Lepisosteus oculatus: one gene and its partners. The protein of the gene in region 2 interacts with the protein of the main gene of each other region in a biochemical or structural test. Links are inferred from orthologs where the notes say so. Each region holds a gene or a part of one and is shown on either strand. Other genes may lie near its edges. The genes, in order: prkcab, hmga1b and prmt6.

Region 1 (11,782 bases), on a different chromosome or scaffold from region 2:
TTTTTTTTTTTTAAACATCAATCTAAACTGCACCAGTTCAAAAGCAAAAGCAAATGTGTCATGTTTATTCAGTAGCTGAGTCGGGAGTTTTATTCTACACCCCAAAAAATAAAAGCCGATCTGATTTGTGCAGAGAAGCAAGTTTCCAAAAATAAGAGAACTGCGGGTCAGAGTGGAAGAAACCCTGTGGTGACTGTGGCTCTCCTCTTTACGAAGGGCTGCCCTGACTGCACGGTGGCAGACCATCCAAGCGAAGAAGCTGCTACAGGGCCACGCTGTGAGGCAGGCATGGCACATAGCACTGCACTGTACATGCTGTGGTTTACCATTGCCCTGTTAAAAAGCAGATATTACATCAACTCGATGGGTGCAGGAAAAAAGGATTCTCCTGAGATGTTATGCACTAGCCTCGGTAAGGCAAAACCAATGTTATATTTAAAAGTAAATTGCTTTTATTCTGAATTTCCCCTGGAATTTCACAGTTGCACAACAGCCTGTTTTGCGCTGTAAATAACTGAACAAACAAAAAACCTCAACACTCCACAGAAGCAGCAGCTCCGGCCAGGAATGATGGAGTCACACCTCCATTTCACCAGCTGACCTCAAATTTCATGGCGCTTGGTCTGCCAGAAACCTCTTGCTCTGTCCCAGTGGGCAGTGTTTTTTTACCAGTTAACCGTGGCCTGGGAAGTCACACATTTCACTGCACATGTTAAGTGTGAAGGTCTGCCCTGTGCTGCTCTGTTTCAGCGTGTTTACGGAAAGGCCTGCCTGCGATGTCGTTGCTGCAAACTGAAACTGGAGATTTCCGATGCGGTAAGAAACTCACGGGAGCACTTCAGAGTTGGTCTGCTCCAGGCCCCAGACAGGGTGCAGACCACCTTCCTGGAGCCCCCTGTGGTTTTGTATCCGGGCTTGCAGGTGTAAAAGGTCTCCTCTCCGGCCTCAAACACACGCCTGTCGTCTTCCATCTCCGCGTTCTCTATCAGCGGGGGGCGCCCACACACTGCAGATGCACAGCCAATACAGTGTGATGTTAATCTGCACGGTGTGCTTTCAGAAAAATATTTTACTACTCTTAGATGTTAAACGTATATTAGGACACTGTTGCAATGCAGTTGACAAATTCTGGTTACAAAACCTTTATTTTACATAAGCACAGCAGATATAAGACAAAAAAGCTCCAGCTGAAACTGTGGCATTGGAGTGTAGAGCATTAATGAAATTGTTTAATGAACTCTAATGTCTTTCATTTGAACTTGCATAGCTTTCTTCGTGTTCAAGAAGGAGGACAGGCGACCAGCCCAGTGCAGTCGTTATTTAGCTGACCAAAAGACTGTGGGTCATTGTTATCCATTCCATTTAATAAACGTCACTAATTCTTTCAGTCCGTTTACCGATTTGAGGTGCCTGTGGTTTGAGCCATTATCTTGTTATTTGTAAAATAGTTGTTCTTAATTTTCTAAAGAGGTACTTATCTATTTCAGAAAACTACACCCATGGAGTTCTTCCAAGAAGAAAATTATCTGGGCATAGATAGACATTCCACAACTTTAATAACTTTATCCCAGAATCCTTTCAGAACAGGACAGGTATATAATACATGTGTGTAATGAGCTTTAGTCTCGCCACAATTTTGCCAACAAGCAGTTGTGTTTCTTGTATTATTTTATTATGTTTTTAAAAATCTCATCTGAGTTTTCCATACACATTCCCTCCAAAACCAAGAGTTAGTTGTCTTAAAAGTATTCAGAGAAATCTATTTTCAAACATAAGAAAGTAATTCTGCTCGTAGCTCATTTTCCTATTTGGAAATCACTTTAATTTCTCCTACACTTAATTCATCTCACAACAGATGACTTCATTGACCCAACATATTCTTAATGTTTAATTTATCAAACAGTTTTGCTACAAACTGAATCAAAGGATGAATTTCATCAAAGGTCTTCTTGATTCCCTGTATCTTTGTAATGTAACTCTGATTATATTTATATAATATATAAATATATATATTATATACAAGGTCGCTCATGGCTACAATACTGCTCAATGAGAAGGCCAGCCAGGACCTACTGTACCTTTGACAGCGTTCGCTGAGGGCTGGAGGGAGACCTCGCAGAGTAACAGCAGAGCTAGTCCCCACAGCATCTTCCTTGGCAGGGCTGAGGACACAGTCGCAGGCACAGGGTCTGTCCTCTCCGGGAGAGCTGAGCCGGACTAAGAGATCAGCCTGCTGACACCGCTGTTTGTCCACCTCAGATGAGCCAACAGATAAGAGCAGATAAGCCTAGCCAATCATTCCATAAAAACACCAACCACAAACACTGCTGCAGGGCACACAACAACAGTAATAGGAATAAAAATCATCTTCAGGCACATAAGTACAGTATAAGGATACTGAACATGTCTAAACTGAAAATAGTCCATTTTCAGGACTAAATAAAAAATAACTTCCAACTTAATAATGAATAATTCTGAACGATATGCATGTCTAGAAAGCAACATTCTTCAGCACAGATTTAAAATAGCGCCCCGCTTGAACTCAGCCTCCACCTTTTCTTCTAGATGTTTCTAAATTCTTCTGGACATTAAAGTATTATAAGTAGTATCAACCCTGGGGTCTCCTTTCTCTTCTGATTTGATCAGGGGTCTAAAGTCCAAACCACAGTTGTATTTACCCAAAGTTGAAAAGTAACTCTCTTGAAATCAATATTTTTTAAAGGCAGCAAAAGAAAGCAAAACACCTGGGGTCTGCCTGCATGGTCAGTAAAGCCTGCTCTTTGTTTGCGTCCCTTAATACTGTGCTGGCACCCACAATCATTAAAGATACAGGCTTTGGGAGCTGCAGTTTTCTCAGATCAGAAACTTCTGTGTATAAAATAACAGACAGCACTGCGGTAAACACTATATCATCTGCCCAGAGGGAGAGCAGGCAGAGCAGGTTAATATTAACACCAGCCCCTCAGCTCTGTGACGTGCCCATCAGCTCAGCACAGCTCCAAGATGACAATCAGATGAGACACAGTGAGAGCTGGAAACAAAAAAAATTGTTGGCTGCTTGAGGTTTAAAACACGTTTCCTCTTATTTGCTACTGAATAAATCAATCGTTCCAGAGGAGCAGTTTATCTAAAGATACTGAAAATATCTTCTAATGTATCCTAATACGCACATATTGACTTATTCATCTATTTTCTGTTTTTCATTATTGTTTTTTAACTTTGATTTGACTCGGCAAAACTGGTTTGATTCCCAGTGACACTGGTTCCCAAACTCTGTGGGACTCCGGTACAGTCCGAGGAGCCCCCAGAAGATCTGGGAAGTATTTTAAATTTTAATAAGCAGTTTTCCTCTCGTTCGTGTAAGTGCCTTGGCTAGGTACAGCATTTAAGATCTGGATTGTCCTCTGGAATCAGTCCAGGGAAGAGCAGGCAGATACTTTCTGGAGCTCAAAGGAGACAGGCAACAAGAGCTGGACCTTTTTAGTTTTGAACAGAGGAGACAAAAAGACTAAAAGGGAAACTTGTACCCGAAGTACCCGAAGGCCCTGACAAAGCGAGCCCAGTGGATCTCTTCTGATCCAACAGTGAAACACGAACCAGCAGACACAAGTGAAAACTGTGGACAGTACATTAAAGGCGAGTGTTTATCATGGTACAAAATACACAGTTACTGTTAAAGAGGAGCAGACCTAACTGTACGCCACTATCATTACTACAATTTCCCTACTGGACCAGTTTCACTGCGGAGTAGGATTCACACTATAGCCAAAATCTGGTAAAAAGCAGACATTTACAGTAGGTATCCTAATATGCACATATTGACTTATTCCTTTTACTGTGCAATTAATCCTTTACTGTTTTCATATACTTGCAGGCATCTTACTGTCATGGACTTACGAAATTAAGAAACATTACAATAGGCCGGAGATGGAGTCACTTCCTCTGGACTATATTTGACTCCAACTTACAAACGTCCATAGCAACTTACATTTGCATGCATACAGCTGATTACTGGACCAATTTAGGTGAAGTACTGTACTTCACTGAAGGGTATAATAGCAATGTCTCACCTGGAGTTCAAACCCACAACCAGCCAGTGACAAGTGAAATGTCCTGACCCCTGCACCACACTATTCTAGCTGAACTGTGGACAGTCTAACACTAACCCTAATCCTAGCATCACTCCAAACACAACAACAACAACATCACTTTATTAGCCCTATACAATTTCTTGAATTAGGAATTTGTCTTTTCGCAGACCCCAGCTTGCTCTCCATGAGACACACAGACAGGGAGATAGCCTGGGGTCAGAGCGCAGGGTCTGCCATTGTACAGCGCCCCTGGAGCAGTTGGGGTGAAGGGCCTTGCTCAGGGGCCCAATGGAGTAGGATTCCTCTGCCGGCTGCGGGATTTGAACCGGCAACCTTCCAGCCACAGGCACAGATCCTGAGCCACAGAACCACCACTCCGCTCCAAACACAACTTGACCTTCATTGTAATATTTAAAGTACCTCTGATAGCACAGGGCTCAGGGATGAAGAAGTAAATCTCAATCTAGACTAGAAATGTCATGCAATGTCACTCCTGCTAAGGGAGAAACTGGATCACTTGTCTAGCCAGCAGCCATATCACCCTGCAACTCATAATTGGCAACCAACTGAAGCTCAGCAGGTGTGAGCCTGGTCAGTACCTGGATGGGAGACCTCCTGGGAAAAACTAAGGTTGCTGCTGGAAGAGGTGCTAGTGGGGCCAGCAGGGGGCGCTCACCCTGCGGTCCATGTGGGTCCTTATGCCCCAGTATAGTGATGGGGACACTATACTGTAAACAGGTGCTGTCCTTCAGATGAGATATAAAACCGAGGTCCTGACTCTCCGTGGTCATTAAAAATCACAGGGAGTAGGGGTGTAACCCTGGCGTCCTGGCCACATTTCCCATTGGCCCTTATCAATCATGGCCTCCTAATAACCCCCCTCTATGAATTGGCTTCATTACTCTGCTCTCCTCCCCACTGATAGCTGATGTGTGGTGAGCGTTCTGGTGTTCTACATTGGTGCTGGTGGAGGGGATCCCCATTACCTGTAAAGCACTTCGAGTGGAGTGTCCAGAAAAGCGCTACAGTGTATATAAGTGTAAGCAATTATTATTATTGTGCGCCTTCCACATCCCCTGAGAACTCCCTGTGGAGAAACATAGAATCCACCACAAGGTGTCGCCACCGAGCACAGTATAACTCACCAGTCACTTTCCAAGTAACCTTCCCAGCTGAACCCCTTCCACCTAAATTAGTTGCCTCAAGTACCCCCTTGAGATTTTAACTAATTCAAACCTTTCAAAACATGTAGATAGATGCTACAGCAACCGTCTTAACATAAGTTGAGCTCCCATGAGTCTGATCCAAGGTTATCATCGCCTTTGGCTTTCATCCATTTGACTCCTTGCTCCTAATTTCCAGGATTCTCTTCCCTGATGTTCCCAGTCTTCTTTGCTCACCTCCAGATTAAAGACCCATCTTTTCCCTTTTCCTCTGGCCTTCTCCTACAGTACATTATACTCCGGGCTGATGGACCTGAGCTGAGACGTGAGTTCTGGACCTGTCCTGTTCTTATACTTTACACATGTCCATGTACTGAAAATGCTCCCAGGTAACAAAAGTCACATGTTCTCAAAATCATGCTGACTCAGATGTTCAGTTTAGTTTATTTGTCATATGCACAAATGCAATGACATGCTTAAACGTGTTAAAGCATTTCACAGCACTTAATAATAATTTCTTACACTTATGTAGCACTTTTCTCTACACTCCACTCAAAGTGCTTTACAGGTAATGGGGCTCCCCTCCACCGCCACCAGTGTGCAGCCCCACCTGGATGATGTGACAGCAGCCAGAGTGCGCCAGAACGCTCACCACACACCAGCTCTCAGTGGGTCTCAGAGAGCTCTCAGCTATCAGTAGAATAGAGTTATAATAGATGGAGGATGGATTATTAGAAGGCCATGATTAGTAAAGACCAATAGGAAATGTGGCCAGGATACCAGCTTAACACCCTTTCTCCTTTCAAAAAATACCCTGGGATTTTTAATGACAGAGTCAGGACATTAGTTTTTATGTCTCATACAAAACAGGGCACCTTTTCACAGTATAGTGTCCCTGTCACTCTACTGGAGCATTAGGACCCACATGGACCACAGGGTGAGCGCCCCCTGATGGCCCCACTAACACCACTTCCAGTAGCAGCCTTAGTTTTTCCCTTGAGGTCTCCCATCCAGGTACTGGCCAGGCTCACACCTACTGAGCTTCAGTGGGCTGCTAGGTGTGAGTTGCAGGGTGATATACAGTAGCTGCTATCTTATTAAAGCTGACACGTATTAAAAGTTGTGTTCTATGGAAGGCAAAATATGTAAGAGAGTTAGATTAATTGATTTTGGTTCTGTTACAGCATATGATGCTTTTGGTGCGTTGTGTAGAATTATTGTCAAACTGTGTGGCCGAGTTGAGGATTTTATTTACTAGATGAACGGGGCTTGTAGAATCAATCTCTGCAGTTCTAACAGGTTAACATACCTGTGTCCAGCTGCTTAAAGCTCATTCAGTTAAAAGTTTAAAGATACCAAAGAACTGCGGCAGCTTCAGGACTTGAAGTCACTCTCAATAATGTTACAGGCACTTTTTAAATTCACCGGTCATTACGAAGACATCAGCCCTGCAACACAGCCCGACGGCCAGCAGGTGGCGCGCCGCGCTACCATTTTTTTTCCATCGGGGAATGAACGTATCCTCCCCAGGAGTGTAATGTGCACTGACGTCAGCCGGAGTCAAAGAAGGAAGGAGAGTCCGCTGTCTGAGCTGTCATTAACTAGTTGTAGCGCCGGCGAGGGGGGACGCCGCTTGGTCAGACGTCTTGAGTTGCAACGACAGCGCCCGCAGTTCACAGACACGAAACTCCTGCAGCAGCACAAGATAACCCACACGGGACGGGACCAAGCCAAGCCGAACGGAGGGCTCTGTCGCTTTCTGACATGGCTGATATGATACATATCAACGAGCCACCTTCGGCGGACGTAGCGAACCGTTTCGCCCGCAAAGGTGCTTTGAGGCAGAAGAACGTCCACGAAGTGAAGAACCACAAGTTCACGGCCAGGTTTTTCAAACAGCCGACCTTCTGCAGCCACTGCACCGACTTCATCTGGTAAGCGAGCCCTCTTTAAATCCGGGGCCCCCCTCGGCAGTTTCGAAAGTGTCCGCCGACGGGGAGTTTTCTGCTGGAATAACTCTTTTCCTCCCTGCACGGCGTCTCCCACTCCTGCCTCTCCGCGGCCAGTCTGGTGCAAACTGGGAGGAAGCGCAGCCGCCGGGGAGAGGCGGTTTCTCCCGTTTCGCTGCAGAAACTTAAGATGCCAAGTTGGGTTTTTTTTTTCTGCTGAGCCGCGGAGTTTTGCGGGCTGGGCTGGGCTGGGCTTGGCTGGGCTGGGCTGTGACCGCAGGTAGTTTAGTTACTTGGTGTCCCGGGCCGGCGTCGTGCGGGTCTTTTGCGCTCACGGGGTTCTGCGCCCTTTTAAAGTTTAGGATTCATCTGGGGGGGCTTTTGTCTTCTCCAGATTGAAAAACGCCCCCGGTTTCCTTGTATTTGCGAGGATGCGATACGAAAGATGGCAAGATGCAGAAGGTTTTTTTTTTTTTGATGCTCCAAACAATCGATATGTATTCAGCAAAATTCTGAAAAAGTGAAGAGCGCAGGGACTCGACTCACCCGCGGTCTGCGTCTCGGCGGATTTTCTCGTGAAAGCGCTTCCAGGATGATGCTGGATCTACAGGTCTGAAGTTCCCGCACAACCTTCTCGCAATCCCGAAGCAAGTTAAACAAACAGTGCCTTCGGCAGTCGGCAGCTCCATTTAGCAACTGTGAACCGCGATGTCCCCGCGGGGGTTACACGTCGTTCGGAAACCCAGCTATGCTGTAATTTTTAATTGCATTAAAACACAAATGAGTTTTGCCACACAGCAGGCATGCTTCTGAATGCACACCGCCTAACACGTCTGTAGGCCGGGGGTTTACAATTAAGATTCGCAACAAGTGTTTCGCAGGCTAATTTCCACGTAGACCGAGATTCATTAAAAACGCCGACAACCTGAGCGCTGGAACCAACGGCATCTGTTGCGTTTTTAATGGCTCTCGTTACAGATGTGTGTGACAGTCTGCAGCGCGCTGGTGGGCTTCATTTCCCTTGAACGCGGGGCGCGCACCTGCGTGTTCGTGGATTATCAGTACCGGCGTGCAGTTTCGCTCAGCCACTGTATTGGAGAAAACCGCTGTTAAAAAACAAACCCGCGCGGCCCTGGTGATAACTGCACTTGCACGGTCTTCTTGAACCGAGCTTTGTTCAAAGGCTGCCGCAGCGGTAGAGAATTCCTGGTCCCCTGCGTTTTCAACCCGTTTCCATTGTTGTGGAAACGGGGCTGCCTGGTGGTGTGACACCGCACGCATCCGTACGCCAGTGCACAGAAAGGGTCTGCAGTCGCCGGCGACGTGCGGGCAAACCTGACTGGTACCCACAGACGGCTGACCGCCATTAAGTGATTAATCCCCTGTGGAAATGGGGAAATAATTTCCCCCAGAGGTGCCATCTATCAGGTCGGTCACAGACGGCCTGAGTGAATGATGTGGGCTGCTATCTAGAGCTAGCTGCCCTGAATGCTGTGCAGGAGGGTGTATGCAAAACTTTTTTTTATAACGTCTCTAATTTCCATCTATGAGACTAGACTGTGCGGATCTGTATTTCACTGCGCTGCATGTCAGCTCAGCACATTTTGTGTCCTAGTGCTGTGGCCAAGAGGTGTGCTCTAATTACAGCAGCACGTTTTTGGTGGTGGTGGTGGTGGTGGGGGTTGTGCTCCATGAGTTATAAAGCAAGATGTGGAAATGTGTGGCAGGTAGCAGCTGAGAATTTGCACCAATGTGGTTAACATTTGGTGTGCAATCTTGTTGTGATTTGTGAAAGCCTGGGCTGGGAGAAACGGAGGAGTCTGCAACAAGGGAAGAAGACAGGGTCCTGCTTCACGGAGTCCTTTATAGGTTTGGGAGGGCTGGCTACGGCCGTGAAGCCTTGCCTCTCGAGCTGCTCGGAGTCTGTCTCCACCTCACAGCCTGACCTCCCCAGGTCTCGGAAGCTCAGCCGGGCCTGCTCAGTACTGGGGTGGGAGGCCTCCAAGGGAAACCAGGTTGCTGCTGTAAGTGATACTGGTGGACCTGTAGGTGGCGCTCTGACCTCTGAACCTGAATTTCCCAAATATTGTCCCCAGTCTGAGTCATTAAACTGAGTTGCTGACTCTATTGAGTTCATTGACTCCTCAGTCGTGAAGGACTCCTGGACAGTACTGGCGTAGTTGCTGCGCTGTGCTCTTGGCCTGTGCTGTCTGGTGTTGCTAAAGATCCCTCTTCATTCAGCTGCTGAAGCAGCTCTCACTGCTCCACCTGATCTGCTGGTCTGCTGGGGCTGATGGGCTGTGTTACCCCTGGGGTGTTGTGGGGGGGTTTGGGGGGCTGCTCTTCAGTGACGGGGGATGTGGGTCCTCTCCTGTGTTTATACTTCTCTGGGCTGAAAAGCGCTATGTACAGTAAAAGCAAGGCGGAGTTAATCATGAGTTATCGCCCAGGGAGGAGGTAGAGGGCATGCTCTGTCTATCTCGATCACGCCGCCTCACGTACGCCAGCAGGCAGGTGTTGCACAAGGCTGGTGCTCAAAGTGCACGCCTTCGGAGAGTGGGACAAGCTGCCCAGCCACATCACTGAAGCGAATTCCCCGGCTTCTTCCCAGAAACAACGGGGTGAGGTTCTGGGATCAGTTGGCTATAGATTGGCCATCTGACATGTTCTGAAATCAAAGTTACCAGAGCTCTCGCACATGAGGTCAGAGGCGCTGGTCAGTGTTGGTCTTCCTCATACAAAAACATTAAAAACAGATTTAGGTTTAAGATCAGAGATTAAGCCAAGACAATTAGATAAAATATAGTCCTGTGAAGAAGCTTCTTTAATTTTCAGGCTGAAAAGACAAGAGAGACACCATTTCAGCTGTGGATCCTTCTTCAGGTGTGACACTTGAAGAAGGCTCTGCAGCCGAAATGTTTTCTCTTTTCTTCTCGGCTGGAATAAACCTTTGCTTGCTCCTTTGCAGCCTACGCAAGCTGATGCAGCCACCTACATGAACTACTTTAATTTTTTAATTTTCTTCTGTAATGAAAGTCCTGTGTAATGAATGCTCATTCTCTCCAAACAGCTGTTTTTTTGTCTGTTGTTGATCCCTGCCAATTACTGCATGCAAAGTAAGAATAATTTCAAGTTTAGTTTCAATTAGTTTCATTAGTTTCAATTTCAGAAACTAATGGTGCTGTAGTGTGCTTAGTACTACTGTTCAGAATGCAGTGGCTTGTTAGAGCACCTTCTGCAACTTTCCTGTTCTTACTGTGAGGAGCTCCAGTGGTTCAGTTAAGTGTTTTTACACTAGGTGTGCAGTACAGTGTTCTCACAGGTTTTTTGCTCTAGAGTAGAAATAGCTCCTAATTAAGATAACAATCATTTCATCGCAGTAATACAATATGAATTTGCCAGCCGAGCTACTGATAATATAGATGGAAACAAAAAAAAAGTAAAATTAAAAACATGTCTTTCCTCTTGAGTGGTGTTTTGAGGTTTTCAATGAGCTCTGAGAGAAAGATGGAGAAGAATGCATCCTACTGGCCACAGATGGTGGACAGATGGGCTGCGAGATACAGCAGATACACAGACATTTCAGCAGACACTGCTTTTGCTCCTGAAGTAACGAAGAGAAGAAGCAAATACAAACGGATAAGCAGCTGAATTAGCACTCTGTGAAGGTCTCTGATAAAAGCAGTTTTGTTTTCTTTGTGCATCACACAAACGTGCAAACCTCCCCCAGCGCTAGCCATGACATGCCAAGTCCTCTTCTGTGTGGCTAAGAGCCGCATACTTGTGGGGCGCCAGTCTCCTTCATTACTCTTTATTAACGTTCATGCGAAAACCTTTAGCTTGTCAAACCGCTTGTATATATAATTCTGGCGTATTCTGATTCTTCTCTCTTTTTCCTTTCACAGGGGATTTGGAAAGCAAGGATTCCAGTGCCAGGGTAAGTTCTTGATGAAAAGAGTTATTCTGTCTTGACGCCTGCTCTGGTTTGTTGGGCAGCCTAAAGGAATGCCACTGTTTTAGCCAGAGAACACTTCCCATCATCTGCAAGCACTTGTTAGCGCAGAGGAGGACGTGGACATCCATTCTCTAAACGGAGATACTGTCTGTCCTCGTCATTCGCTTCACCGGACAGCGTATCTTCTGTGCTGCTCTGCTCGGGTATCCTCTGGCTCTCTCAGTCTGGCGGGTGCCTTACGCGTTCACACGAGGTGAAGATTGTGGCACAGAGAGATGAGCTGAGCAGGATCGAGACTGAAGAGCCGTGAGTTGTTGGGGGTCACGATGGGCGGGAGCCATTCTCTGTTATTTTCAGAACCGACGGTGAAGTAGCATCTTCCTGTTCTCCTTCAAGGCCAGGAGAGGCAGAGTGGTGTCTGTAGCTCGCAGCTCCCGGTGTCAGGGGGCAGGGAGGAGCAGTCATTCCTTCACGTGGAGAGGCCCAGCGCTGGCTCCCCGGCCCGCGGAGAGGTTTGCAGGTGGAGGGGCGGTGTGCTGGAGCCGCCGCGCGGAGCTGCAGCGCTGCCTGCGAATCCCCGCGAGCCGCGCCCGGGCAGGAAGTGGTTGCTTGGCGTGACCCGCA
Region 2 (11,201 bases):
ATTCTGGCAAGTAATGGGCGCAACGCAAGATACACCCTTGATAGGATGCCAGAGCACACACAGGGAATGAAATGGAGCACCCAGAGGAAACCCACATGAACACCGGAGAACATACAAGGTCCAGGCACATAACAGCTCAGGAACTGAACCGTGAGCCCAAGTGCTGCAAGACAGAGATGCTAACCATTTAGCCCTTACCTTTTAATATATATATATATTTTTTCAAATTCTTAAACAAAAACATACAGGAATTGCCTTATAATACACAAACTAGAGTTGCTATTATCGGGTGATTTCTAACAACAATCATTAAAGATATCAGTACATTTACTGTAAGAAAAGGACTTTTCTGAGAGAATATCTTGACCTACAAAAATTTGAAGCAAAGGGAAAAAAACAGCCCTTTCAGGTTAAAGGCCAGTAAGGAGAGTTATAAGCAGGAAGTTGGGAGACGGGCTGAGAGTCGCCTCGCAGAGTTCAGCTGATAGAGCCAAACACTGGCAGGAACATCTACCACGCAGAACAGGAACTACACTGTGCCCGAGTTAGACCCTCACTGACCTCGAAGAATGCAACTGAAATCATTCACTCTCCATTACCTTTTGGATAACATTTAATTTCAAGTTTTTTTTTATTAAATTAAATGAGAAAAATTCTTATTACCCCCAAATGTTCTGCGCACCAAGCATATACGCATCAGAGATCTGAAGCACAGCTACAGAAAAGCAAGCATGCAGCCATTATATGTATAAACATAGCAGATAGCAAATCCATAGCTTCCAAATGATTCAGAAAGGCAGAACACAATACACACTGACCTAGTCAATGTCTGAAAGGCTTTAATGATAATGCTTCAGATGTGCTTTTCAGAGGTTATATGAGCGTTTACGGTGTACATTCACAAACAGTCCGAGAGGACAAATGACAAACCCTAAAAATGATGGCAGCTGAACACTGAAACATGCCAAACCTGGACAACAGCCTCCTTACTGCAGGTTACACTGATTTATCTAGGAATTGAATTCATTGCTTTTCTCTCCTCCCCACTGATAGCTGATGTGTGGTGAGCGTTCTATGGCTGCCGTCGCATCATCCAGGTGGATGCTGCACATTGGTAGTGGTGGAGGGGAGTCCCCATTACCTGTAAAGCACTTTGAGTGGAGTGTCCAGAAAAGCGCTATATAAGTGTAAGCAATTATTATTATTATCATCGCTTAAGGTCTGTTCCATGTGTTTACAGTCTGCACCTTTGGTTTAATTTCAATGGGATTTCTGAATTCTTTCCAAGCCAACGATCAAAATACCAAGAGCACAGGCTTACCGTGAAAAATATGTTTGGGGGGGGGGGGGCAGGAGCACTGAAGATATTTCACAAATCTCCAGAGGAGAAGGGCTAAATTTAACAGGTCTCATTTCCATGGTTACATCCACATGTTGCTTTCCCTAGTGTGAGTGGACCCAAATGATCTCAGAGGGTCAGATTAGGTTCTTTGACTACAATGAACAGAGATTACCTCAACAGGGGGGCTGCAGGTTCAAATCCCAGATGAGACACTGCTTTGTACCCGTGAGGATGGTACCTCACCAGACGTGACACAGCAGAACACCCAGCTGTATTAATGGGTACAGACGTGACTCAGCCAAATAAATTAGTATGTTAGCAATTGGTAACTTAGCCTCAACACTAGCATGATCAGAGCTCAAAGTGTGGTTCCAAACTCATACTTACTTCAAGGCTCTTTAGCTGTGGCTGCTTTCTAGGTCTTCCTCTCCCTCTCTTCTCTGTTCCATCCTTGTCTTTCTGTGACAGAGACTGGTTGCCTTTTGCACCCGAATCGCTCATATTCTGCCCGTTCCTTTATTCTAGGGAAGAATCACAGAAGACGGGTTAGCGATGGGCACCTTTGAACGCAAGGGCTCCCTTCCCAAAAGCAACTTCTAGCAACCACAGACTCGAAAGCGTGCAAGGTTAAAGACAAAGAGGATTTGTTCAAAAGAAGGGAGGGAGATTTTGAAAATCAGAATTTCAAAATCACTGAAGAATTAAACTTCAGCACTATGCACCCACTGACAATTTACAAAGTATTAAATTGTCATCTAAATTTAACGTTATAGATCACGCAGCTTGAACAGAGGCTCTGAAGATTCGCAGTTCCCAGCAAACATTTGGATACCTTCACTCCTAGAATCGTTAAGAGACGGGAGTGCAACATCCTAGCATACCCTGAGCAGACTGGCCTGTGTAATACAACTCCGTACAGCGCAGACACCTGTTGGCCTCTTGTAAGCGATAAGGGGATTTTTTCACCGTTTTTGAAAGAACGAGATAAAAAGTACTCATAAGCGCCACCACCTAGCCAAGTTCTCAAGAAAAAGTATTTTATCGAAGCAACATTAAACAAGAAATCTTTCATGAACACCTGTGCAGCTTTCTGCTTTCAAACATATTCGCATTTTGCAATTTCATTTCCACAAGAGGGGTTGGTGTTTTCTACATAAAATGCAAGTATTTGTTTTACCTAGCACAAAGAGACTTTTATAATTACATAACAGTTAAAATCCTCACGGTGCGGCTACGAGATTATTAAACTCTTCAATGCACACGAGTTCCACCACTTTAATCCAATTTGACGCCTTTGTTGAAAGCAAAAGGCGCCAGAGACCACAAACCACACACGCTCTCCGAGACGTTCATAACCTACCGTGTGATGTGAAATACATTATTTATACAAACATTCTCTGCTGTGGGAATAGTGTCAGGGGAGATTGCAATAAACACTAAAAACAATAACACGCCAAAAAACACTTAAACTCGACAGAAATTCGCCAGATTAATCATGCAACATTCGAATACGATTTAAAGGTACTATCTCCATGCCAAAAATCAACTTCGCACTTATTGCAAAACTTTTCCTTGGTACATTTTTCTGTTCAAAATTAGAAGACAAGCCCATTGACAGGTTTCTAAGAGAATAGGAATCGCCTCACACAGAGGACACAGCAGACCTGTGAACGCAATAATCCATCTAGTATAGACTTGCATGGAAGCGGGTTTTAATTGGATCAACAGATTCGTAAGTCATTTCTTAAAGTTAAAAAAACTGACGTGAGAGGGGGATTAATGGAAAAAAAATCTGACATACTGAAAAGCGCAATTCTTAAAAACAAAACAGTAGTTAAAAGGCCAAAATCCCAAGACCACCATTTAATTCATTTATAAACAGACGACAAACCGCAGTTTTACGTGCAAGCACATGAAACGTTTCCAATGCTTTTTTAACACACGAAAGCTATTCAGAGCTCCAGAACGCCATAACTTGCAGCTAAAGGATGTAAATAATACGTCCCTAAAAACGTGTATAATATTTCTGAAAGCAGGGTCGCTACGGATGCCCCGCAGTTCCAGCACGAACAGGAATATGCAAAGCAAGCACAAATACAATATCAGCCCGACACCGACCGTGAAGAAGCACCGTTCTCGTTTTTATACAGAGACGGGAACAGGCGGCTGCAAGGTCAATACAAACGCAATGAAAATAAATCTTTCCCCCTTTTGCTGTGGTAGCTACCAAGAGGACGATCAGCAAACAAGCATGTGCAAAACATACATATATACATTGCAGAAAAATAACAATGAAACGTGCGGATTCACAGTCAGAAATCCAACACTTGAGCTACATTTTAACTGCAATCGTAAAAATCCAAATAACAACACATACTTGGACATAAATTACGACAAAAAGGTGGCCGTTCACTTACATTACAAGCAAGGCCGGTTTTAGAGCTCACAAACAGCCGTGCTGAATTCCCTGCTTCGGTGCTTGTCCTTTCCCCCCACCCCCCCACAGTGATGTCCTCTGATTAAATTAAAACAAAAGCTCCCTGCTAGTCTGGCTTGCTTGCTCGCTTGCCTGACCGGTTTAAAGCTCCCAGCAGCTACAGTAGATATAACGCTAAGGAAATAAGCATACTAACCCAGCCCTTTAAAAACCTCAGTTTTTTTTTAAGAAGTGAGACAGAGGAAGTAAAAGAGAGAGAGAGGTGGTGGTGGTGGGGGGATAAATTACCAATTTTTTCAAAAAAATGTTGCAGGTCCTGGAAACGGTCCAATATGTGCTAAAAATAGCGCGCAGTGTTCTCCAAGCGAAATAGAAAGCCCGGGCAGGGGGACTTTAGGACAATTTGAGGAGGTTCTCTCAAGGGGGAAAAGAACAACTGTAGGGGCGGGGATATGATAAGTAGGCCGGTCTTCGTGAAGCTCTTTAAAAAGGGCTTTTAATTTTTTTGTAAGCGCAGCAAGGAGCGTACTTTCTAGGAAATCGTTTCAGTGCAACAGTGCAAAGTCAGAAAGCAAGAGTGCGCCCATCAAGTTTTTTTTAACTTAAAGTCTTAAAGTTATTACCGGTGTAACCCTTTCAATAGAAGAAAGATACAACTAAGGAGCATTCAGCTAAGCTTTGTTCTTGTACCTATCCATTCTACATATTGTCCGATGGCCCTGCGTCTTTGTTAGAAAAAAATTAACGCAGTTTGATTTGCAGTGCATTAAAGCCCTGAAATTAACTGTATACTTTTAAAAAGAAATATAGATGCTGTGGAATTTTCTTAATTCTGTTTTTTTTCTCCCAATTGCTTCCCCCCATAAATAATAAATCAGCATTTTGAACAATAAAACTATTCTAAAAATGAACTGGATAAATCACATGAAATGGATGGAGTTCAATAGAATTGTTTATCAAATAGTTTCAAATATTAATAATAATAATAATAATAATAATTGCTTACACTTATATAGCGCTTTTCTGGACACTCCACTCAAAGCGCTTTACAGGTAATGGGGACTCCCCTCCACCACCACCAATGTGCAGCATCCACCTGGATGATGCGACGGCAGCCATAGTGCGCCAGAACGCTCACCACACATCAGCTATCAGTGGGGAGGAGAGCAGAGTAATGTAGCCAATTCATAGAGGGTATAAATACAATAAATATTGTATTTATACCCTCAACAAACTAACACAAAATGCAAATTAAAGTATTTCGTCACTGTATTTCTCGCTAAACCGTGTAATCCGTTATTATTTTATGAAAATTTTATGAGTCAAGTAAAAAATAAAGATAAGCTAGAAGCCATCTACAGTAAATTAGTTTTGCAAAGGCCATCTTCTATAATTAGAGATTGCTGTGCTACACCAGTACACCTTTGCACAAAAAAGACAGTATGTCAGGTATTATTATCCTAATTTATCAATTTTGTGTGCTAACCTTTTTCCATACATTTATCAATTTATATTAGTATTATTATCAATAATATGCACTCAACTAAAACTATTGTTTCATGTGATATAATTTTCCAGACCTGATAATTAAATTAAGTAAATATTATTCCTGCACAAAAAATTGTCTTATTTATCTGGTTATTTTACCACACTCTTTACTGTTGTCCTAAGCAAATGTAATTCCTCTGAAAGCAGTTTAGCAATTGTCACCTTTTCCATGTCGTACACTTCACTCTTCTTTGAAGAATATTTTTAAATGAAAATTCACGGTGACAGGAGACTTTCCAATCCAAATGTTCACCAGTTTGCTAGTAATTAAATTAGGAACTGTATCCAGCCTTTTGAGAAAATTGAGTCTTCTGTTCTCAGTCCTACATTGTGTCGAGGTTTAACTAGTTCTTTGAGCTGAACCTTTCAAGGTTTGGATGCATGCTTTATTCAAATCCTTGAGTGGTACAGTGCTTTCAAAACTAAAGAGATTCAGCTCCTGGAACCTGTGTTAAAGTGTGTGTCTTACCTTTGAGTCTTGAAATGTTCTGAACTTTACTTTGCCTTCTTGTTCTTTTGTGCTGCTGTAGTTCCTTTGGATTACAGAGCATTCACACTCAAGATCAAATAACTAGCCTTTTCAGCCCAGAACAAACCCAAAACCTGACAGTGAGTTTGGTTTGTTTTTCAGACGCAAACTCAGAGTGGACAGGTGGGCATATTGTAAAAATAATGTAATTAATAATAATTGCTTACACTTATATAGCTCTTTTCTGGACACTCCACTCAAAGCGCTTTACAGGTAATGGGGACTCCCCTCCACCACCACCAACGTGCAGCATCCATCTGGATGATGCGACGGCAGCCATAGTGCGCCAGAACGTTCACCACACATCAGCTATATCAGTGGGAGGAGAGCAAAGTAATGTAGCCAATTCATAGAGGGGGATTATTAGGAGGCCATGTTTGGTAAGGGTCAATGGGAAATTTGGCCAGGACGCCGGGGTTACACCCTTACTCTTTTCGAGAAATGCCCTGGGATTTTTGATGGCCAGAGAGAGTCAGGACCTCGGTTTTACGTCTCATCCAAAGGACGGTGCCCTTTTTAGTAGTGTCCCCGTCACTATACGGGGGCATTAGGACCCACATGGACTGCAGGGTGTGCGCCCCCTGCCGACCCCACTAACACCTCTTCCAGCAGCAACCTTAGTTTTTTCCAGGAGGTCTCTCATCCAGGTACTGACCAGGCTCACACCCGCTTAGCTTCAGTGGGTTGCCAGTTGTGTGTTGCAGGGTGATATGGCTGCTGGATATACTTTAAAAACAATAATACATTTTATCAAAACACTTTTCCGTTATATACTTTGCTCTCTCTTACACTTACTTGGATGCAGGAAACAGACCAGGCACACAACAAACTGATTCAATCCTTGTCATCCTCTGTCTTTATCCTTTTTGGGGATTTGTAACATTTGTTTCTTCGACAGTTTAAGAGTACGGAGACTAATTGAACTAGTTTGTCTTACACCTAAGAGAATGTTTGCTTATTTCATGAACGTTTTCCATGGAAATGGCAAATCCCTGTAAATAAACTTTTATACAAATTAAAAATGTTTAGGGAGTGGTTGCTCTTTCAAAATGTACGCTATACCATAACAAAATTCCCTTCTCCCATAGGTAGGATAATAGTGAATCCCTAAATTTTCATAAGCACATTTCTTAACAGTCTGAACAGCAGTTATGCTCACAAAAGCAATATACAGTTGATTTTAGTTCTTGATTACAAATTACAAATCAGTCAGATCAGGGATGTCTTATTTGGATAAAGTAACATACTCTAATCTAATAAGGGGGATAACTGCTGAATTGTGAGCAGATGTTAGTTTACTTTCACATTGTCTGAGAAGAACCTTCACACATAAACAAGTGCGTTCTGAGTGAAACAATAAACACATTTCTGATTCAAAGCTATAAAACAGAAACTAGCACAATAAATATCTAGTGATTTTCTATCCTCTTCCTCCAATTCATTTTTCAAAGGCTGCATCTGAGGAGCCAGAGCCAATCCTGTCCAGCAAAGACTGCAAGGCAGGACAGGATACCTTTCCATCACAGGGCAGACACAAAAACAGGCTCAAACACACCGTACAGTTTTCCCAGAAGACAATTAACCTACCAGTATGTTAGGAAACCAGAGCACCCGGAGGAAACCCAGCGAACACAGGGAGAACATATGAACTCCATGCAGAGAGCATTCCAGGTCCAGAATTGAATCCAGAGATAGATAGATACTTTATCGATCCCGTGAGGAAAATTGCAGTGCAACAGCAACTTAACACAGCCACAGTGTAACGAATGATACAATAATAATAATACAATACATACAATACAATCAGTACAGTGAGAAGTGCACTAAGATGAGTTACTCACAGTCCAGAACACACAAAGAACAAACCAGAACAGAACAGTACAAAAAAAGTCATATTGCACAATATGAGCCCCAGTGTTGCAACTAACTACTGCAACACCATGCCACATGTCATAACCAGCATAATAAAAATAATATTTTCTCTCTTTCATTTTACTGTATAAAGTAGATTACATCAATTTCAGCACCAAAACAGCCTTTTGGGGATAAAACAAAACAGCCTTTTATATAATAAAGGAGACTAAAGCAATCATGCTGCTGTCCAGCTTTGCTGACAGCATTCCCCAATGCAGGATGAAGATTCCGAAGTAGGACACTTAGAGATAACCAGACACAATTTTCTCTTAAGAAATCCAATTTTAAATTACCTGGAAACAAAATATAGTTATTTTTAAAGATGTTAGGGGGATGGAGGCTTCACACTTCAATCACTGAACAGGAATATGGTATTACGCACAGGTCTGGAAGCAGCATTCTGAATAAAATTTTCAGCCATTGCTCATTTGACATTGAGCTCTTGTCTAAAACTTCTGATAATCTCAGGATCCTTTTTAGGTCCTTGGCTGCTTGAGCTAAGAAAGATTCTTCAGTTTTTTTAAAGTAAAAGACACCAGAACAGGTGGCACAGTGGTGCAGAGGATAGCATTGCTGCCCCATTGTGCTGGGACCGTGGGTTCAATTCCAAACCTGGGGTACTATGTGTGTGGAGTTTGCATGTTCTCCCATGCCTAATGGGTTTCTTCTGGGTGCTCCAGTTTCCTCCCACAGTCCAAATACATACTTGATGGTTAATTGGCTTCTAGGAAAATTGGCCTTGGTGTGAATGTGTGAGTGTCTGTCTGCCCAGCAGTGGACTGGCGTCTTGTCCAGGGTATACCCAGCTTTGAGCCTGTTACTTGCTGAGGTAGGCTTTGACTCCCCATTGACCCTGCAGTGGAAGAGGCAGTTAAAAATGGATGGATGTCTGGACACGAGAACAAATACAGAGCATTGCCAGCGTTAAGGAACTCAAGGGGAGAGAAGATTGATGGATTTCTGACAGGTCAGAAAATTAAAATGCTTCCTCTGTTGAATGTAAATATCTGGACGAATATCACACCTCTTGTATTGTCTGGAGGGGGGTGTGTGAACTTTTCAACTCAGGAAGCAGCTTGGCAGAAACACAGTAGGAAACAATGGCTCTTTTACACCTATTGGGGGTTAGGAAAAGCAGAGGATGTTATATGCAGCATGTTCTCCTTTTTCTATCTTTGTACTAACACTGTGTTGGATGTTTCTGACCGGCCACTTACGCAAGGAATCTATTGTTCCTTCCAACATTTTATTTAATATGATGCTCAGAAGCACTGTATCATTTATTGTTGTTATCAGAGTGGTTTGTTTATTTGTCTGATCTTTTATCTAAAGCAAGTTACAGAGTTTACCATTAACTAGTTTTGTTATATAAACAAATGTTTGGAGCAGTTTATACAGCTGGAATTGCTGGGGCAGCTCAGGATAGTCAACAGTATCCACACCTGGTATTTGAACCCCTGACTCTATGTCCAAAGACCTACACACTTATCCAGAAGTTATTTAGAAACTTCCCAGAAGAAGCCATTTCTTCTGAAATCAAATCTGGGTCAATTCAATTGAGAAAACCAAGAAAGGTATCTAAACTGAATGAAGAAATGGTTTATGAAGATGAATGTGGACACTGACAAATATAATAATTGCACACTGTCCCTCTAAGCAGCTGAGTTGCTGTAGAGGGGTTGTGTGTACAGTGGTGATTGAAATCTCCTTTGTTGGTACTTTACATTTTAGTATTGCACAAGTCAAGTGTGGAAACAAGGCATTTGTCAACTGGAAAATGTGCAGTTATTAGACAGAAATAGCCTGGAAAAGTGCAGAATAGTCACAGATTACTCACCTGTGATCAGGCAATCAGAGATCTCTCAATAGGAGAGACAAGACTCATGATCTATGGTGCCAGATTGGCTAAATCAATATTGCAATCATCTGGAGGGCTTGGGCATTTGTGATGGCAATAGAATGGCCACAGTTTGTCTGTTTAGAGAGCTCAGTAATGTTTTGCAGAATTAAGTCAGTTGTTTCTAATGCCAGTGACTGTCACTGAGCAAAGAGGATATCTCATCATAACAACTGTGAACAGAGAACCCCAATTCCACATGTTCACAGTGAGCACTTTTGCATTGCTTTCCATTTTCTGAGTCACCCTGCTGTGCATCAGACTTCTGTCAGTTTATATCAGTGGATTCAAATGTGATTTTGATTTGGATTGCAGTTAAAGTGTCATGAAAGTTCACCAAACTGTTAATCCACAGTAAGAAAGCCCATATTTCTGATCCTAAGTGCAATGTGTCACTCTGGCTGTAGGTTTCTTGTTTGCACCACTTTTAAAGAGTGTAGTATTAAAGAGTTAACCCTGTCTGCTGCCTCTGACTGTGATCTAGTTAGCAACATGACAAGAATTGTTTTTTACAGACTGTTTTGAGTCTTCTGTTGGCACTCTGGATGCCATCTGTACATGTACACACTGTAAAATCAAGTACTGTACAGGTGGTCCTGGAATAGTCTGAATTGTGATGCCCTTGGTCGGTTAGTTAATCTCAATCAGTCTGTTTAGGAATACATTTGAGGAATCTGGTAATGTCTTAGGAGAGTTTCATCTCTCTCCTCATCCCAGCCAGAGTTCCAAATACATCACCAGTTGAGTGACCTAAAACTGGGCTCCCATCCATCTAATTGAGTATCATTTCTAGATGTATAAATGAAACAACCCTGTAATGCAACTTACCTGCATTTAAAGTGCAGTAGTGTGTGTACATTTATGGATGCCTATTCTCAGCAAATTATAAGTCCTTTGAAATGGTCACCCTCTGACAGATGAATGACTGCAAGAAACAGCAAGCTTTCTCGGTGCAAAGGATCACCTTTTAAATGGAAATGATTTATTTTTGCAGAGTGGCTCATTGTGATTAGATAATGACCTAAAACGTGATGTTGAGTAAATCACATCATTGAATATCCCAGAGTGTCCTGATTCTGACTGGTCAACACCACAGTCTGTCCAGTTCTAATGGCAGAAGAGTGCCCAAACTCCAACTGGTCAACACCACAGTCTGTCCAGTTCTAATGGCAGAAGAGTGCCCAAACTCCAACTGGTCAGCACCTCAGTCTGTCCTCCTCTAACTCTCATCACCACCTTCCAGAGACTTGTTTGTGCAGGAAGTGTGGTCAAAACCTTCTGTGTCAATCCAGGTCAATGTGGTTTCAGCAGTTTCCTAGTCCTGTTGAACAAAACAACAAATACGAACACCATCTTATTTTATAACTTTAAAACAACAACAACAACAACAACAACAACAACAACAACAACAACAAAGAACAATTCAAGGAAAGTTGGTCGTTAGGCTAATTGGTTAAATGGCAGTCTGTAGAAAGGAAAATCTAGGATGTTGATGTATTGTGGATGGAAAAGTTACAAATGAACAGCAAGAAGT
Region 3 (9,959 bases), on a different chromosome or scaffold from region 2:
AAAAAGTGGTAGATGTTACAATACTGTCACATATCTGAATACCATTCATCATCCAGTAACTTCACACGCAGCACACACACTGTAAAGATTTAACATAAGATGAACTCACTGCTCCTCTCCGAGTTTTCCAGAATTCTCTTCTGCCTTGTGCCTCCCATCCCCCCAAAAAAACAAAGTTACTCTGGAACAGCCATGTGCTAAGGTGGCTGGTGCCGAAGATGTTTTTTTTAATCAGCCTTCTTCAAGAGCATCTCGGTACAAAACATCGTCATGCTAGCTCAAACTGAACTCTATAATAAAAGCAGGGTTTTGCTTACCAGTTCCTGCTGCAGCAGTTCATGCCCCCATGGACCTTTGCTGCAGCCTTAAATTACAGTCGAAGGACAGCCATATTCTCTCAGCCTTTGTGAGCCCCAGTCTTATTGCTTTCCTGTCTTCACGTTACCATTTCAGGCTTATATAAAATCTAAAGGTTATATTATCAGAACAACCATTAAATAAAATGTAAAGGCCAGAGTATGTTTCACGGTTTAAGCTATGAAGAGGTTATTTTAAAACAGCACATTTGGGGAAAAGGCCAAATAATTCATGATACAGCCAGCACTGTTAGGCTTTTTGTATCAATTTTTGGCAGTAAACCTTTTTTACTCAGGACACCCATAAATTACAAGTCTCCAAGAAAAATCAAGCTCTGGTATCACTTTGATCACATTTGAAAAGAAAATTTCTTCCAAGCATCATTAGAAGTCATTATACTAACCATGTTTTTTTTAGATAAGGACCTGTGGGTGTCTACTTCATTGAATGACTCTGCACTGAATACATTACATCTACAATTACCTGAGGATTCACATACTGAGAATTGGATTGTACCATTTACAGAAAAGTACTTCACAGTACTATTATAGATCTACACAAAAGTATGGTATACATCTTAGGTCTTACCTATTTTCTTCTAGAAAGTACAAATATATTATAACTATAGCCAAGAATTGCCACCATAGGCTGATTGTAATCTGAAAGATCATAAGGGGCAAGGTGAAAGTTGAAAGGTCATGGCAGCAATGGGGTTTTCCAGGAGATTCCTTTTGACTCACAGCACCCAGTCAGGAATTCTGCTTCCACAGAAACACAAAGTACACTAAATTGAAAAGCTACTCAATATGCATTTTAACAACTCTATTATGATCTTTGAATCCTTAAAAAGTGGTTTTAAGCAGTGATGTGCATCTCTAAAAGGCCAAGTACAGCTATTGAGAAAGGATAGCAATGCCCAACGTTGATAATAATAATAAAACATAAGAACAATTCTAAAATAGAGGAGCTCATTCAGGCCATCTGGCCATTTTGGCTGGCAGTACCTTATTAATCCAAGGATTTCCTGAAAGAAGATAAGGTATCAGTTTTAACCACGCAAACCACTTCAACAAGGGCAGCTTGTCCCACACTCCCACAACCCTTTGAATAAAGAAGTAGCTGAATTTTAAATGCATTTCCATGTTGTTTCTACTTGTGTCCTTCGGCTCATTAATACATGTTCTGCTTGGTATTTCTCTCATCACTCACTCCTGCACTGAATAAGTAAACCTTAATCTATGAACAACTCATATTTAGCCACATTCTGGGATTACAACAAAATGCTCGATTTCAAGACTGTTTTGTTCAAATTTCTATGACCTCAAAAACATCTGGATTGAAACTTGTTTTATTTTGTTACAGACCACTTTTTGAATTAGTTCCGAGCAAGCTCTTACAATTTCAACATTTCACACTTTTTACATAGTCTTAAAATTTTAACATCCTTCAAACAAGCCTCACACAGGAAAATGCTTTCGCACACATTCGCTTCAAAACGTTTCACAGTAGATTACAAATAAATTTGATCTAACGTTTATGGTTTATTTTGTTAATAGCTCATGTTTATAAAAATACTTTTAACATTCTAACAAGCAGCATAACTTCACATATACACATTAACTTTATTCGTTAAAAAAATATCACAATACAAAGGAGAAATAAGTTTACATATAATGAGGAGCACTTATTTCTAGACATGGTGGGTTTCAGGACTTTTTTTTAATTAAAAAGGGTCTAGACTTGACCAGGCACACCAGCAAGACATCACGGTACATTATTTTACTGAGGGTCTGAGTAGCCATCCCCCATTGTAAATGTTTTTGATTTCTTTTTAAGATCTCCTATTGTGTAGTCCACGTGGATGCATATATGTCTTGAGCTTTCTTCCGAAGGGTACAAGGTTATTTCTCCCTCGACCTTGGTGTCCTGCATTACGTCAATCGGTTCGTCCAAATACAAAACAGACTGCTTCCAGTGAGTTTCCTGTTTGAAAGGGGAAGTCGAGAGGACTAAAGGTTTCTCTTCACCTGGAAAATTCACTGAAAACCACACGCACAATGCATTTACACAGGAGGATCCAAAACACTCACATGTGAAGGACCCTTTTACGCGTTTAAGCTGCTCAGTCGTTACTGTGTACAAATCTAACTCGGCAAATTTCGCAGGATGAGAGAGCACGTCTTCCACAGTAACCATGTTCACAGTGATATCATTATTCATAATACACTTCCGTGCAAAGTCAGACATACAAGACATATCCACACCATACTGGTCTTTCACAGTACTCCAGAAACTGAGTCGGTCTTCCACCACCAAGTCATTAATGGGAGCAACATACAGCTCAGCTTTAGAGGGTAAAATGAGACCACCAGGTTTTAACCATTTATCTCGAGCGAAAATCACTGAATTCAGCATAGACTCGTGGAGCAGTGCGTATCCCATCCACTCGCTGACAATCACGTCGACCGCCTCTGGTAGATCTGTCGTCTCTAATGTACCTTTTATAACATCGATCTTGTCATCCATCTTATTGAGTTTTACGATTGCCTTCGCTTGGTCAGCTATTGCACTTGCTTCCACGGCGTACACCTTCTTTGCCCCAGCCTGCACACAGAAAATGCTCAGAACACCAGTTCCTGCACCAACATCCAGGACAACTTTACCCTGGATCGTTTTACTGTTCCTTAAAATACCCAGTCTATAAGAATTGGTGCGTACTTTATCTGCAATCATTTCTTCGTGGATGGTCACGTCGGAATAACTATCAAAGTACAAACTATCCTGAACACTTTGATCTAGTTTCCTTTTTTTCGTAAATTGAGTCATTTTGCCGTGTCAAATACCCACGCCACTTCAGCTATACTGTACTCCGCGTTTCCCAAGCTACCTCGAGGGAGGATGTAATACTGAATCATGGGAATCGTAGTTCTTACAGGAAGTAAGTTAATTAAGTTAACTTCCTCTCTTTTCTTTTGTACTACAACTCCCAAGAACAAGGGGAATTAAAGACTGGGGACTCGATTATGTTAAATGTATAATGCTTTTAAGGAGTGTAAAGAGAGGGAGCGTAAGGCTGTAATTTCATGATGCGTCAGAACAAATTCTCAGGACAAACATACGTTAATGGTATTTAAAATTAAACATAACTACAACAGGGAGCTGCGTCGGCGTGCAAGCTGTAGAAGAACAAGCAGAGGCTAACTCCACAAAGTAAAAGATACAATTATACCCTTTTCCCAGTTTTCAAAGTGAAATCAGCCTGTGATGGTTATTTAAAAATAAATCTCAGTCTTAAAAACGACTTTTTATTAAGTTGATCGATCCTTATGCACAGGAAATAAAATCACTCCAGCACTTATTATCTACAGCCAGCTAAACCTCCAGCTGTTTCTATCATACTGAGCAACACATTAAAATAGAATGTCTGCTTACTAATCATAGTGACAGCTCTCACTGTGACTGATTTCTTATTGTATTGTGAATAGGCATCAACCTCTTTCAACTATAATTATATACGTATTTCTTATTTTCTCTATCAAACGACTGCAGTATTGCACTGTTCCGGGTTACATGTGAAAGTTTGAATCATTTTAAGTCATCAGTTTAGTTTACTGACGATCATTTCCCATCTGTGTACTGTAAAGCTGGATGCTGTTAGTTCATACAAAGTTAATCTGCAGTATCATTTCTGCAGTTCAGTTGGCTTTGGTTAAGGAGTTTTCACAGATTCTCTTGAAGAGAAGCACACCATGCACTTTTGGTGTTGATAACACGGTCGTATGGATTAAATTATTGATGAGGTATTCTTCTGCTTTTTGTTTCTTCTTTCCTTTCATCCATAACACAGGGTACCCAGTATTTTAAACAGTTATGGTGACACTGGTGGGTGGTACAGTGGGGCAGTAGTTAGCATTGTCTCAGGGGTGCTGGGGTTCTGGGTTCAATTCCACACATAGGGTGCTATCTGTTTGGAGTTTGTGTCTTTTTGCCAGGTGCTCCCATTGGCCCTGGTGAGATGGTACTGTATGTACTGTGTGTCTGCCCTGTGATAGACTGGTGTCATGTCCAGTCCAGTGTGTATCCTGCCTTGCACCTGTTGCTTTCCAGGATAGACCCCAGCTCCTCTGTGACCATAAATTGGATGCAGTGGTTAGAAAAAAGGAATTTTATAGACATCTAATTGGCTACTTTCAACATCTAATTTTTCTTCCAAAAATCATTGTGTTCTGTGCTGTTATGGTGAGCTAAGGAAGAAGATATGTTTGGTTTATTCTGAATTAAAAAGTGATGTGCTGATAGTTTCTTGACTCTGCTTTCATGCTTTCCTTATACTGTAAGTAAAAGCAAGAACAGTTTGAAGGTGCTTTTATGTGTTACAGAAGCTTCACAGACAGCCCTGCTGGGAGAAGTGTGACTAGTTTAGCTGTGAGCAAAACCATAGTGCTTCAGGTTCCCTAGCAACTTTTCCATACCAGGGCTCACTCTTAATCAGCAACAAGGTACATGAAAGCATCCCTGTTATCTCCAATATTTTTTTGTCTTTACTCATGCTTTGAAGTGAAACTATCATTTCACTGCAAAGAACAGCTGCATTATAAATAGAAATAAATACATAAGACCATAAGCCTTAGTATATAAATGAAGCTGCTCTTATTCAGGGGTCAAACAGTAATACAAAATTAGTATGCTGCAAGCACTACAGGTGCAGCACCACACATGGAAAATTAAAGCTATAAATGCACTGAACAAGTGGTAATAACATTCCTTTAAATGTAAAGTTTTAACAACCAAATAATGGTTTTTGCAACTTACTGTATGTGTGATGTTTAAGCTGTAATATTACAGATTTAATTTTAACACTCTTGCAATGGTAGAACAGTTACAAGGGGCATTTTAAACAAATCTGTAACATTGTATTTATTAATAAAGAATGCTTTTATTCTAAAAATGCATTGGTTTTTGTGTAAGATGCATGCCTTAGTAACAGAATACTGTTCTCGCTCTTATCTGCAATTAAAGATTTTAAGCATTCCAGTACAATCAGAAAGCTCATGTCAAACATGTATTTACTTTTGCTTTTGTTCTCCGTCTTTTCTAGATTTTTTAGAATGAGAGTTTTATATAGTTTTAATTAATGTTTAACAACAAGAAATACATATTTTCTTAATGAGTGGATAGCAAAGCTTCATTGTAATAAAATGCTTATCACGTTTTAGCTCATTAAAACATGAAAGTAAGACAAAATGGCATTTCAGTTGATCTACTATGACTTTTGAAAACCAACAAATTGTTACTAATTTCCAGTTTGCAAAGATTCTTTTGTGAAATAACTTCATATGAATCTATTTGGTACAATGACAAACACACATGGAAGTTAAATTATTGGAGACCCGTGGTTTGTTTGGATAGATAAAAATGCAAATATGTCAATGCTGATTGAAAAGTCTTAGATACTTAGATGTTTTAGATATGTGCAGTTGTATGGTAAGGAGACTGTTATACCTAAAAACTAGGTTATTTGATACCTCAAAATTAAAGGAACAATTTTAGTAGAGAAGCGGATGAGATCTGTCAAAATATCATAAAATGATTTTGTCTATTCTTTCTTACTATCTGTGTGGAGTTTATATATTCTTACTGTGTTCACATGGGTTTCCTCCAGGTGCCCTGGTATTGTGCTGCAGTCCATAGACATGCTGGTACTTAACTGGCTCCTGTAAAACTGGCCCTGGTGTGAATGTCTGTTTGCTTGTGTCTGTGTATTCTCTTTGATGGACAGGCTTCCCATCCATAGTGAATCTTACCTTGAGCCCATTGCTTGCTGTGTTAGGCTCCTGCTCCCTTGTGCAGTTTAAAAATTGATGGATGGAACGTGACCGTTTGTAGATCTACTGTATATGGGTGTATACTGTACCTGTAGCTATTTATGCATACATTTATTAACCTGAGAGCTTTTATTACCACATTTATTCTAACAATTTCGAATGTATACATCAGCATATATACCTTGTCCACTTGTTTGCACTTTATTTGCAGGTTGACATTTAATTAACAGCCAACAGTTATTAATTGTAAAAGGCCTGTGAAGATATACTATATACTGTATATATATTGAAGTCACAACTACAACTACAAAAATCTAGAACCTTCATGTTTCCAGGAGGACAGAATTGTACAGTATATGGTACTGCATTAAGGAGAAACTGCAAAAGTTAACCAACAACTCAAGGGCAGAGCAGTGGCACTGTGGCTAAGGATCTGTGCCTGTGGCTAGAAAGTTGCCGGTTTGAATCCTGCAGCCGGCAGAGGCATCTTACTCCCTTGGGCCCCTGAGCAAGGCCCTTAACCCTAGCTGCTCCAGGGGTGCCATATAAATGGTTGACCCTGCACTCTGACCCCAAGCTTCTCTCCCTGCCTGTGTGTCTGATGGAGAGCAAGCTGGGGTATGCAAAAAGACAAATTCCTAGTTCAAGAAATTGTATATGGCTAATAAGGTCATCTTCTTCTTCTTCTGTCTCTTATAGAATGTAATATTGGAAAGCAGTTTAGAAATGGATGAATGGGCAAAAGAGTTTTTATCAAGTTATATGTCTATACTTTTGTTAAATCCTTAATATCTGAAATTATAGAAAGCATATTTCCAGTGCTCGAATAATTAGATTGTCAAGATTGGATTACTTTTATAAAAGTCTTATTATTGGAACTGATATCATCATGTAATGGAGAAGTTGCTTTTAAGAGTGCATTATTTATCAGAAGTCAAGAACATTCTAATCTAGTGCTCTGAATTTCTTTTGTAAAGTCACATCTTTCTTTTCCAATCTGTAGCTAAGAAGTGGGCGATATTAAAAAAAAAGGTAACCCTGACTATTTTGGGTCATTTTAAGCATAATCCCCTTTTAAGTTTTAAGGAACCAATACCAACAACGCATATGATATTTATTTCTTCTCTTATACTCTTATCACAAAATGTAAAGCTCTTCAATCACACTTGAGACCAATGGGTAACTTAACCACACCTGTGTATTATCTGACATAGTACAAATGGTATTTTATACAGTATATGACTAAATAAGTATAATGACAACAGGATTGTGCGCAATAACAAAACACCAACATTTTTCCCTTAATTCAAGGGCATTAGCAGAAACACCTTCCAAGCATGTAGCATACAACTTTGCGTTTTATTCTTTTCCGATTTTGGAATAAACCTTAGATTATTACTTTGTTTGTATGCATGCAAATATGCTAGGAACAATGGTGTTACCTTTTTATTTCACACAAATGAAAATTTCTTAAAATACTATTTAAATGGCATATTTCAGTTTTCTTCCTTTTACTGTTCTTTGCTGACCGTGCCCTGATGTTACACAGTGTGTGCACATTATACTTTACCAATGTGACTTTCCTTTTCTGTAGTGCTGAAACCTGTCTGACAAGGCTTGTATGTGGTTTGTTTGATTCTCATCTCAGGGGTCTATTGATAGCTTCAAAGTATGGACCACCTGCTATGTCTTTCATCATTCATGACCTTTCACTAGTGCAACCTACACACTGTAAGTAGAGCACTGACCTGGAATAGATTTTAGATAGATGTTTTTAAAGCGACTAGAAAAAGGCCCTCTACTTCAAGTTAAAATTTCTTTCAGGATATCACCTCACATGACATTATAGTTTAATTTTTTTTGTCTGTTAATTGCATTGTATATTTCATGCAATGAGGGCACTATCTGTTTCAACATGAACCTGTTTGCTAAAACTGAACAACCTACCTAGATCTGTCTTTTTTATAAATAGGTCTACTTCCAAGATGTATTTTCGTATTCCCCACACAATTGTGTTGAAATTGTAATTGTTGCAGATGTTAAAATAAACCTAGGCCGATATTATGAACTAATTAAACAGTACCAATTTTCACCTTTTGTTTTTTTGTTAAAAGAAAGCAAGACCTATGCTATTGGACAGATTTAAGTAAAATGGGCAGAAAGCCAAATTAATTCTCATTATTTTGTTAGGAGAATATTGTTTGTGCAGAAATCACTTCCTTGAATTTGAACTCTGAATTAGAAATACTTCTAAAATATAACTTTGTTTACTGTATGTCACTAATTACAGTAATGTTACTGCAATATTCATTTGTATCATCATTAGCCTACTAAAACATATGCACACTTTTCAGCAGTTCTGTCTCTTTTTTAAGCTAATTTCTAAATCATTTTAAACTTTGTGTGCTATTCAGTGCAGCATCTCACTCTGTAAGTTTTGAGATTCCTTTGAACTAAGGAGATTTACATACTGTATGATTCTCCCTCTCAGATATTCCAAGTGTCAGCTGGCCATCAGTTTAATATCTAAGCTTGAAATACCCAGCATTGCAATATCATTTGATTAAAAAATATTTGAGATCCATTTTAAGAATACCTAAATGCCAGTATTCATATTTGTAAGCATCTGAGTTGTAAAGCCAAGTCAGAAGACCAATCTAAACAACTGGATTAATAAATAAATGATATTGAATGGCATAAGGAAAAATATCCTTTCTTTATTTTATAAACCAATGTATTGACTACAATGAGAGATGCTGTCAATCAAAGCATGCTAAGCACATTTGTTACAAGAGCTAACTGAAGGAAAGCAGAAGACATGGGATTCAAAACATTCCTTCTCACCTTAGACTGTTTATGGGTATATAGTAAACTAACTGTACTAAGTATTTGTTCCTATTAAATATTTTGGAATTGAATCAATCTTCATTTAATGACTAAAATGTTTTGCTGATTAATTTGAGAGCCCCAAAAATGAGAATGGAGCATTGTACGAAAGTTGTAAACAATAGGAGGCCATTTTAGATTGCTTGTTTGTCAGTCACATCCAGACATTTCTTTAAAGAAAGCAACGGTTTTGGCTTTGAGTACCTTGTTCCAGACTGCCACAACCCTTTTGAGTGAAGTAGTGCTTCATGTTCTCCTTTTTAAGTGCACTCTCCCTTAGTTTTTATTTCTTTCCTCTTGTTTGCATTTCGTTGTTGATTCTGAAGACGTTCTGTTCAGGTTCTATGGCAGAAGCATTATTGCCGCTCTTTTCAACTGCAAGATAATTGAGGTGGTATATCCTATTCTCTTCCCCCATTGCTTGCAAGAAGAGGCTGAACCCTAGACCATTGCAGTATCACCACAATGTTCACACTGCCTGATTTACCCAGTGCATATATTGCTGAAGATTTGAACTTATAAAAATAAAAGTTTTAGCCTATTTATGCTAATCAGTTTAGTTACCTGAGGCCCTTGCAAATTGGTTGTGTCATTTAACTTGACTGAGGTGGATGTTTGTGTTAGAGGGCATGGCTGTGTGTTCTTGTGTTGAGGGCGTCCAAAACATATGGTGTGGTGTATGAAGGTGATGCACAAGTACTGAAATGCTGTGATTTTTCTCCCTCACCTGTGCTCTTTATAACAGATCTCTGTGGATTAAGCATAACTCAGAAAATGGACTGATGGATTGTGATGACTTCTGCTGCCTATCAATAAGCATTAACCAGCTGCTTCACCCAGTTAGTCCAATCTGTGATAACTCTGGGATTATGCTATAATCCTTGAGTGAAA

What was found.
Region 1: of the proteins of hmga1b (region 2) and prkcab, one has a biochemical effect on the other in vitro, tested with the Homo sapiens proteins (2 studies listed by BioGRID). The link is inferred for Lepisosteus oculatus from reciprocal best matches to the Homo sapiens genes HMGA1 and PRKCA.
Region 3: of the proteins of hmga1b (region 2) and prmt6, one has a biochemical effect on the other in vitro, tested with the Homo sapiens proteins (2 studies listed by BioGRID, with this or other methods). The link is inferred for Lepisosteus oculatus from reciprocal best matches to the Homo sapiens genes HMGA1 and PRMT6.

What each region holds. Positions count from the first base shown.
Region 1 is NC_090704.1:46,204,507-46,216,288, reverse strand, and holds the start of prkcab (protein kinase C alpha type), read left to right. Parts: upstream 1-6,812; 5' UTR 6,813-7,018; coding exon 7,019-7,188; intron 7,189-11,108; coding exon 11,109-11,140; intron 11,141-11,782. Other genes in the region: beta-2-glycoprotein 1, read right to left, coding at 830-1,006, 2,079-2,148. UniProt on the Homo sapiens protein: Calcium-activated, phospholipid- and diacylglycerol (DAG)-dependent serine/threonine-protein kinase that is involved in positive and negative regulation of cell proliferation, apoptosis, differentiation, migration and adhesion, tumorigenesis, cardiac hypertrophy, angiogenesis, platelet function and inflammation, by directly phosphorylating targets such as RAF1, BCL2, CSPG4, TNNT2/CTNT, or activating signaling cascade involving MAPK1/3 (ERK1/2) and RAP1GAP.
Region 2 is NC_090700.1:29,517,142-29,528,342, reverse strand, and holds the start of hmga1b (high mobility group AT-hook 1b), read right to left. Parts: upstream 4,177-11,201; 5' UTR 4,068-4,176; intron 3,964-4,067; exon of another isoform or gene 3,760-3,963; intron 3,480-3,759; exon of another isoform or gene 3,461-3,479; intron 3,371-3,460; exon of another isoform or gene 2,703-3,370; intron 1,864-2,702; 5' UTR 1,844-1,863; coding exon 1,730-1,843; intron 1-1,729. UniProt on the Homo sapiens protein: HMG-I/Y bind preferentially to the minor groove of A+T rich regions in double-stranded DNA. It is suggested that these proteins could function in nucleosome phasing and in the 3'-end processing of mRNA transcripts.
Region 3 is NC_090704.1:10,697,553-10,707,511, reverse strand, and holds prmt6 (protein arginine N-methyltransferase 6), read right to left. Parts: upstream 3,240-9,959; 5' UTR 3,184-3,239; coding exon 2,137-3,183; 3' UTR 1,690-2,136; downstream 1-1,689. UniProt on the Homo sapiens protein: Arginine methyltransferase that can catalyze the formation of both omega-N monomethylarginine (MMA) and asymmetrical dimethylarginine (aDMA), with a strong preference for the formation of aDMA.